Coturnix japonica: one gene and its partner. The protein of the gene in region 1 purifies or fractionates together with the protein of each later gene. This does not show direct contact. Links are inferred from orthologs where the notes say so. Each region holds a gene or a part of one and is shown on either strand. Other genes may lie near its edges.

What was found.
Region 2: the proteins of EWSR1 (region 1) and DDX17 purify together in Homo sapiens (affinity purification with mass spectrometry; 3 studies listed by BioGRID, with this or other methods). This does not show direct contact. The link is inferred for Coturnix japonica from reciprocal best matches to the Homo sapiens genes EWSR1 and DDX17.

The regions. Positions count from the first base shown.
Region 1 is NC_029530.1:9,960,469-9,963,563, forward strand, and holds part of EWSR1 (RNA-binding protein EWS), read right to left. Parts: intron 2,477-3,095; coding exon 2,439-2,476; intron 1,859-2,438; coding exon 1,826-1,858; intron 916-1,825; coding exon 797-915; intron 242-796; coding exon 112-241; intron 1-111. UniProt on the Homo sapiens protein: Binds to ssRNA containing the consensus sequence 5'-AGGUAA-3'. Might normally function as a transcriptional repressor. EWS-fusion-proteins (EFPS) may play a role in the tumorigenic process.
Region 2 is NC_029516.1:46,423,235-46,427,484, forward strand, and holds the start of DDX17 (probable ATP-dependent RNA helicase DDX17), read left to right. Parts: upstream 1-1,208; 5' UTR 1,209-1,526; coding exon 1,527-1,570; intron 1,571-4,250. Other genes in the region: DMC1 (meiotic recombination protein DMC1/LIM15 homolog), read left to right, coding at 25-94. UniProt on the Homo sapiens protein: As an RNA helicase, unwinds RNA and alters RNA structures through ATP binding and hydrolysis.

The DNA of each region.
Region 1 (3,095 bases):
CCACACAGAGCCCGGCACCACACACACGTTCCCAGGGCGCACACAAGTGCACGGAGTCCATAATCACGTGGAGCAGAAGGGCAATCCCAACACATCACACCCCATACTCACCATCGAACCATTCCACAGCTGTTTTGGCAGTGGATGGGTCATCATAAGAGACCGTGGCATCTCCTTTCGGTTTGCCAGTTTCTTTGTCAATGTAGAGGTGTATCATGGGCTGCCCAGTCCTCTTGTTCATCTAGCAGGACATCAAATCATTTATAACAAGTCACACATCCCCGTATACACCGAGTGGGGGCTCTCCCCCCTGTTCTGCTTTTGATCTGAGCTAACACTTCCACTTAGCAACTCCGTGGCAAGAGAAATGGCCCTCTGGCTTACCACACCAACAGCCACCCATGGCAACCAAAAGCAGGAACTGGCCCAGCAGCCTCTCCTGCAGGCTCCTGTGAGTGCAGGAATGGAGCTGCAGCCTCCCCACATCCTCCTCCACTCTCCCCACCGCCCTGCGCTCAAGCTGTCACACATCCCACCCGCAGCAGATCCACAGACGGATGCTTCCTGAGTCTGTAAGCACTGCTGCTTCTGCATGGCTGATGGAAGTGCACAGAGGGACAAAGCTTGATGAGGATCTTTTGGGGAGCTTGTGCTACAGGGCAGCTCCAGGCTGTGCTGATCTCACTGCCCATCAGAGCTGCCCGGCTCCACAGAAGGGGCTGAATGGGACAGTGGGCAGGGAGGAGGCAGCCAGCTCCCTTCTCTGTGCTCACCTGCACACACACGTTCCTCTCACCTTGACAACCCCGCACTGTTTGAAGAAGTCTGCCAGATCCTCCAGGGTCACGTTATCATTGAGTCCCTGCACATACACTGAGCTGTTGTCCAAGTCCTCATCCAGGTCTATAGGTGGGCCTAGGAGACAAATCTCAGGGTCAGGCAGTGGAAGAGGCAGCGATCCAGCAGCACGTCACCCCTCAGCCAGCTGCAGCTTCTCTCTCAATAAGTGCATTTATGAAGCGACATAGAACTGAGGCACTCCAGGAAACCCCAGGCACAGAGAGCAGTGCTAAGGGCTGAGCTCTCTGCTGCAGCCACCCAGCATGGCCAGGGCACCATGCAAGACCTCTGCAATGGGGCATGAGCGAGACCCAAAGGCACAACACACCCCTGCATCCTCCAGGTCCCGCATGTGGATGCTCACCCCTCCTGCTGCTATAATCCCCTCTTTCCTTAGGCTGATGGGGAACTACCAAATGTGTCTGTGCAGGAGGAAGAAAAGGGCCCCAGGTGGGGGTGGCACAGGCTGCCCATTGAGGTGGTGGGTGGTGCACCATCCCTGCAGACAGCCACAGGTAATGGGGCTGTGAGCACTGATGGAGCTGTGGGTGCCCCTGTTTGTTGCAGGGGGTGGTTGGGTAAGACGGCCTTTAAGGGCCCCTTCCAACTCAAACCATTCTATGATCTTATAAGGAGGAAGGAGACTGCTGGACAAGTGCCTACAAGCTCCAGACTGCTGCAGCCTGGAACGTGCTTTCTGCTGCTCCAGGCAGCCACACAGCAGCTCCTTGGCAAGAGCCCCCTGGCTCCATAGAGAAGCACAAGCATCTCACAGACACGTGTGGGCTTCCACCAGTCCAAGCGCTCTGATGAACCAGGAATAGAGAATCAGATGAAACAGCCCCAAAGAGACTGCAAACAGCAGAGCACCTCTGTACTTGGGTTATGGGAGGGCGAGATACGGGGCAACATCTTCTGCCAGCTGAGATGGGCACAGAAACCTCCACGCCAGCAGCCTGGGAGGGGTGTGAGCAGTGACAATTACCTAAGTCAAGGTCCGGTCCTTCCTCCATGTGTCCTGCCAGTCGGGAGAGAACCATAAGAAGCAGTGTTAGTGCAGGCCCTGCGGGCTGAAGGAGCGACACACACATCACTATCTACTTATAACCACCATTCGATGGCGCTGGTTAAACTCCAACTGACCCGCACTGCACAATCACCAGCAATGCACCTCTACGTGGCGACCGGTTCGCTGTTTTTAGCAGCCTTTCCATCCATTAACCACTATTGCGTGGGGTTGGTTTTTTGTCTTAATGCTTTACCAGGCCAATCCGTTTTACAGTTGGTTAATCCAAAAGTTACTTAAGAATTATCAAATCCAAACCATTTCTTTTCCCCCAATTACAGAAGTGGTTTCTCAATGCTTCCATATCACCTGTAACCGCGTACCCCTGGGCATGGCCGGCTCTACCCATTACAGTCTTGTTGCATACGTCATTTTTAACCACTTAAAACTAAGACAAATTACACTTTATTTTTTTCTACAGACTGACTGCAATTGGTTTGTTTTATTATCATTATTATTTATTATTATTATTATTCTTTTTTTTTTTTTTTTTTCCGTTAAACACTATCCATTGTAATGCTCAAAAACTTACCACCAGGCTTATTGAAGCCACCTCGCTCTCCAGCGCTGCTGGGGGGATAAACGAAGAAATGAAGGCCTTTCCCTTTACAAAGCCAGTACCGCTCTGAGCCTCTGCGGCTCACAGGGAAGAAGGGCACTGGCTAAACATCTCCAAACAATGCATCTGTCTCTCTCTCTCTCTCATCTCGTCACTATGCCTTTCTTCAGGGCAGCTCGCTCAAATTTCCTTTACATACACAACCTCGCTTGTCTGGTTCTAGACACCACTTTGCTGTCGGTACCCTTCCATTACTTTGTATTGGTATTAGCAGTGCAATACTTGGCAAAAAGAAAACAACCACCAAACCAAACTGACACCCATCCGTGAGCGTTGCAGATCAATCCCTGTGATCCAGGGCTGCCCGCTGGTCGCTCCCTCCCTGCGGCGTGTTCACAAAGTGCACCCTCAGCCTGCCGGGACCCTGACATTAACAGTTCAAAAGGGAGGAGATGACCACACGCGATGCCTACAACACAGTTCCGATGACATTCCCGCTCCAACCTCGGTATAAAGCCATACATTCAGGTCGCTACTGAACTTAACAAGTCTCTGAGGAGCAGAACTTACAGCGTACAGCGAGGGCTCCAAGGCCTGGGGTGCAGCTTTGTGGGCACAGACCGGACGCCA
Region 2 (4,250 bases), on another chromosome or scaffold:
TCCCCCCTCTTCCCTCCCCTCCAGTCCTGAGATGCCCGAAAATGAAGCCACATTTGCAATAACTCCTGGAGGGATTGGAGATGCCAAAGAATAAGTGGGAACCTCATGCAGACATACAGCTGTTAACCACCAAGGCGCTTCGTTGGGATGAAGATCTGCTCCAGGTCGCTGCCTCCCCTGGCTGCTTTTTATCTGCTTGGAATCGTTTGAGAGGTGTTTGGGATAAACCGTGTGTGCTTCAGTGTTATTCAGCTGGTTCATTTGGGGTCTTCTCTTTTTAATTGGCAATAAATAGCTGATGGAAACAACAAGCCCAGGAGCTTTGCGGCACTCCATGTGTGGAAGAAGAGAATTAAATACCTGGAATACTTTCACGTCGGCCAGATTGCTTATTGAAGCACTTTTAGAAGAGAATGACCTAAAGTTGTTTATACTAAAGGGAATAATAAAGACCTAAAACGAGAACAGCACTCTGTGTGTCTTTGGGTGCTTCTCCTCCAGCCCCACTCTCACTCATCCCCAAGCCAGATACAACCCAACCTTTCACAACCCGTGTGGGGCACATCAAGCCGTTGTCTCGCAGCCAGGACAAAGCACACATCATGGCTGCCTCCCCTCTCGCTGCTGCCCGTGTGCTGAGCCCACAGCCCCCTGACAACCTGCCCTGTGAGGGGGCCCCGAGCCCACCCGGCCCTCGCAGCCCCCCGCACCCCCCTCCGCCGCACCGCCCTTATTGTCTCCTCCACAGCGGCAGCCGGCGCCCGGCCGAACAGCCGCATTCTCTAAGCGCCGCTACGCTGAACGATCAGCGTAATCCTCCGACCCTCCGCCAGCCCTTCCTGCACAGCCCGCGGAAGAATTTTACGCAAAACGTCGGGTTCTTCCTGCTCTACGTCAGCCTGAGTTACGCAAGCTGCGTACGCCGTGCGCTTACGTAACGTACGCCTCGGCCTAGCTTTTCCCTACCCTCTAGAAGGGGTTACGCTGTAGGCTCCTTGCGTAGTAGACTTTGAGGAATAAGAAGAGCGATACTCCCCTTACTCCCCGCCTCACGCAGGGGCTTCTGAAGCGTAGACTGTTACGCAATCTCCGTATATCGCTCTCTGTTCGGCGCAGTGTTCCGCCAAGAGCGCGTAGGGCGTAGTTGGCTTCCGAGAATTAACGTAGGCGTTTTCGAGAGCCGCAGTTTGCGCAGCGCCGGGGCGCCCGTAACGTAAGTGAAGCGGGTTGGGGCGGCGGCGGCCATTTTGTGCCGGGAGCCCGGAGGAAGAAGACGCGAGTGTCTCCACACTTGACGGGCCCTGGAGCCGACCGAGAGCCCCGCCGTTCCCTCTGCTGACGCTCAGCGGGTCTCTGACCCACTGACCACTTCTTCTTCGTTTGTGTCCCTCCCGAGAGCCGAGGTGGCGCAAACCGAGTCCTCCGAGACCCAGCCGGCGTTGGCCGGGCCCTCGCCCCGCACCCCCAGCCCTTCGCCGTCACCACGGCCGGCCTTCCGATGCCTCTCGCCCACCCCCCCGGGAGCCATGAGGGGCTTCGGGGACCGGGGGCGCGACCGAGACCGCGGCGGGTAAGGGGGTGACGGGGAAGGCCGGGCTGGAGGGCGGGGGGACGCGAAGGGGGGATGGGGGGGGCTGAGGAGCGCTCACCTCAGTTGGAGAGGCTGGGGGGGCGAGGGGAGGGGTCGGGAGGGGGGATTTCTCCTCACACTTCGGTGTTGAGGAGCGTGAGGGGGCACTGGGGGAGAGGACGGACATTTCACCCCTGTTTTTCACGTTGAGGGGATTTGGGGCCGTGTTATTATGGCTTTGGCAACAAGGGGTGGCTTTGTTTTTATTTACTCTTAGTAACGTGCCAAGCTTGCAATTCTAAGGCCTACCTCTTCCTTTTTTCCCCATATCCTTAAGTTATTTTCTCCTTTAACCAACCACCTCTCCCCTCCCCCCCCCTTGCCACCCCCCCACCAAACGTGAACGGGGATCTCTGTGGCCCTGACGCTGCCCTTCATGCTGTCATTGCTCCTTTGGAGCTCCCTCAGAAGATGGCAGTTGGTGAAGGGCCCTTCTCGTGAGAGGAAATGAGAGTGAAAGCTGCCACTGAGCTGCGTGCGTGCTCAGGAGGCCAGTAGCTGTAAACATGGCCTGGGCTGTGCTTAGCAAGCACGACCGAGCTGAGCGTGACCAGCCTTAGCATGACCAAGCTGATGGAGCAATCGAGTGGGAGCTGTCTGGCTGCCGTGGCTTGGGCCTAGTGCTTAGTGCTTCCAGTCTTGCTAGTTAAGTTAGGAAAGGGTTTTGTAGGTTTGACTCCTAAGGATGGCAGCAATAGGATAATATTATAGTATTTAAATGGTTCGCTACTTGGTTTTCTTCCTGAGGGTTAAAAGCAATAAGAGTCATCCTAGAGAAACTGGAAACCTGTTTAGGACAGTGGCATTTTCTATTCTTTTAATAGCTAGTAGTTAGGCCTCCTTTCTCAATGATTAACAATAAATGTATCGTATAGATTTTGTTACATTTTAGGTCTAGTTTGCCATAGCAATACTATTTTTCATGGCTTGTCTTTTTTTCCTCCTCTTTCTCAATGACAGATTGAGGAAAATTTTGTTTATGCATCGAAATCCACTTTAACATTTAGTTTCTCTTCGTCTGTGGAGGGAGATAGTCGCATTTAGGCTTTATCTTTGCACCCACATTTCTCACTCTGAACTTAAAGCATCCTTTCACTTTTTTTCACAGGGAGGAGGGTTGTGTTTTTCCACCATGAGCTTTCCGGCTGAGCACAACGCAGGGACATCAGTGTCAATGCTCTGGCAATCTGAGATAACTCAGGCCCAGCTGCTTTTGGAGTTTAGAGAGCGTATCTGAGTGTGTAGATTTATTTCGAGTTACCTAAAGTAACACTGTGCAGAGTGTTGTTACAATGCTTAGCATGCATGACATTTGTGTCGTCATACTCTGCAGGAGGGCTTTGCTTGTAGATTCTTCTGTTGTAGATCACGGATGTGATGTACGAAGTAAGGAAGGAGTGCCTTATTTGTCAGGATTTTGGACATCTGCATGGAAAATTGTTTTCTTGGCCTATTACAGCAGATTGACTGTATCAAGATTCAGCCACCGACAAGCATCACAATTCAGAAATAATTTCTCTGAGAATGTGGGGCCACCCAGGATGCCGTGTTCAGAAGTTCTTCACCTTCCTAGTGCTGACTCTTCCTTCAGCTAACAAATCCAGGCTTCCAGTTTTCTTCCTGTCTGTAATGAGCTGTAGGTGACTGCTTAGGATAGGCAGCTGTACTGTTTTGCTCTGGAATGTAGTAAATTCTTAGTTGTGTCCCAGAATCTGTGGCATAGTAGCTTTAGAAAGGAATGTTCTGGGTCAGTCTGAATTTCTCTTTAACTGAAAGGTGAAATCGGTGAAGTAATCTTAGTTTTAAATCATCTTGACCAGAGCTGGAATTGGGTGGTTCCCACCAGGTTACTGGGGATGGTTGTTGCAGGAGGGCAGCAGGGTTGGCTTCCTTCAGGTCAGTGTGCAGCCATATATTGCCTGTGGGGATGGAGAACTGGAACTGCCGCACTTGTGTCAGAGCGTATGATTCATAATCACAGAATCATCGAAATCACCTGGGTTGAAAAGGACTACAATGATGATCCAGTTTCAACCCCCCTGCTGTGTGCAGGGTTGCCAGTCACCAGACCAGGCTGCCCAGAGCCACATCCAGCCTGGCCTTGAATGCCTCCAGGGATGGGGCATCCAGAGTCTCCTTGGGCAACCTGTTCCAGTGCTCCACCACCCTCTGTGTATGGGTTCTTCCCTCTGGATAGCTGTGGAGCACATAGAGTGCTCAGCTGTTTTGGGGTCCAGTCTTACAGTCAGCTTTTCCTCTCGCTCTCCAGTGAGTCCAATAAGGATGTCTGTGCCTTTTGGTAGAACTGCTTGGTTACATCAGTAGTTACCATTTGGACTTCAAGTTAGCATGGTCAGCAGCAGGTATCTTCAGCAGAGCAGGATGTTTCTGGAAGTGATCTGTGCAATTGTTGTTTATCCTTTGTTCCAGAAGGAAACTTATTGCTTAGAAGTAACTTTTCAAATTGCATTTTATGGTCTTGGCCTGTGACAAAAATAGCTGGTTGCAAAGGGTGCTGGTGGGGAACCTGGTGAAGGTAGGAGGTGAGAATAAGGGGTATTTGTACAACTGGGAAGAGATACAATGAAACAGTTGCAGCAAAACAAACATTGGAATTTAC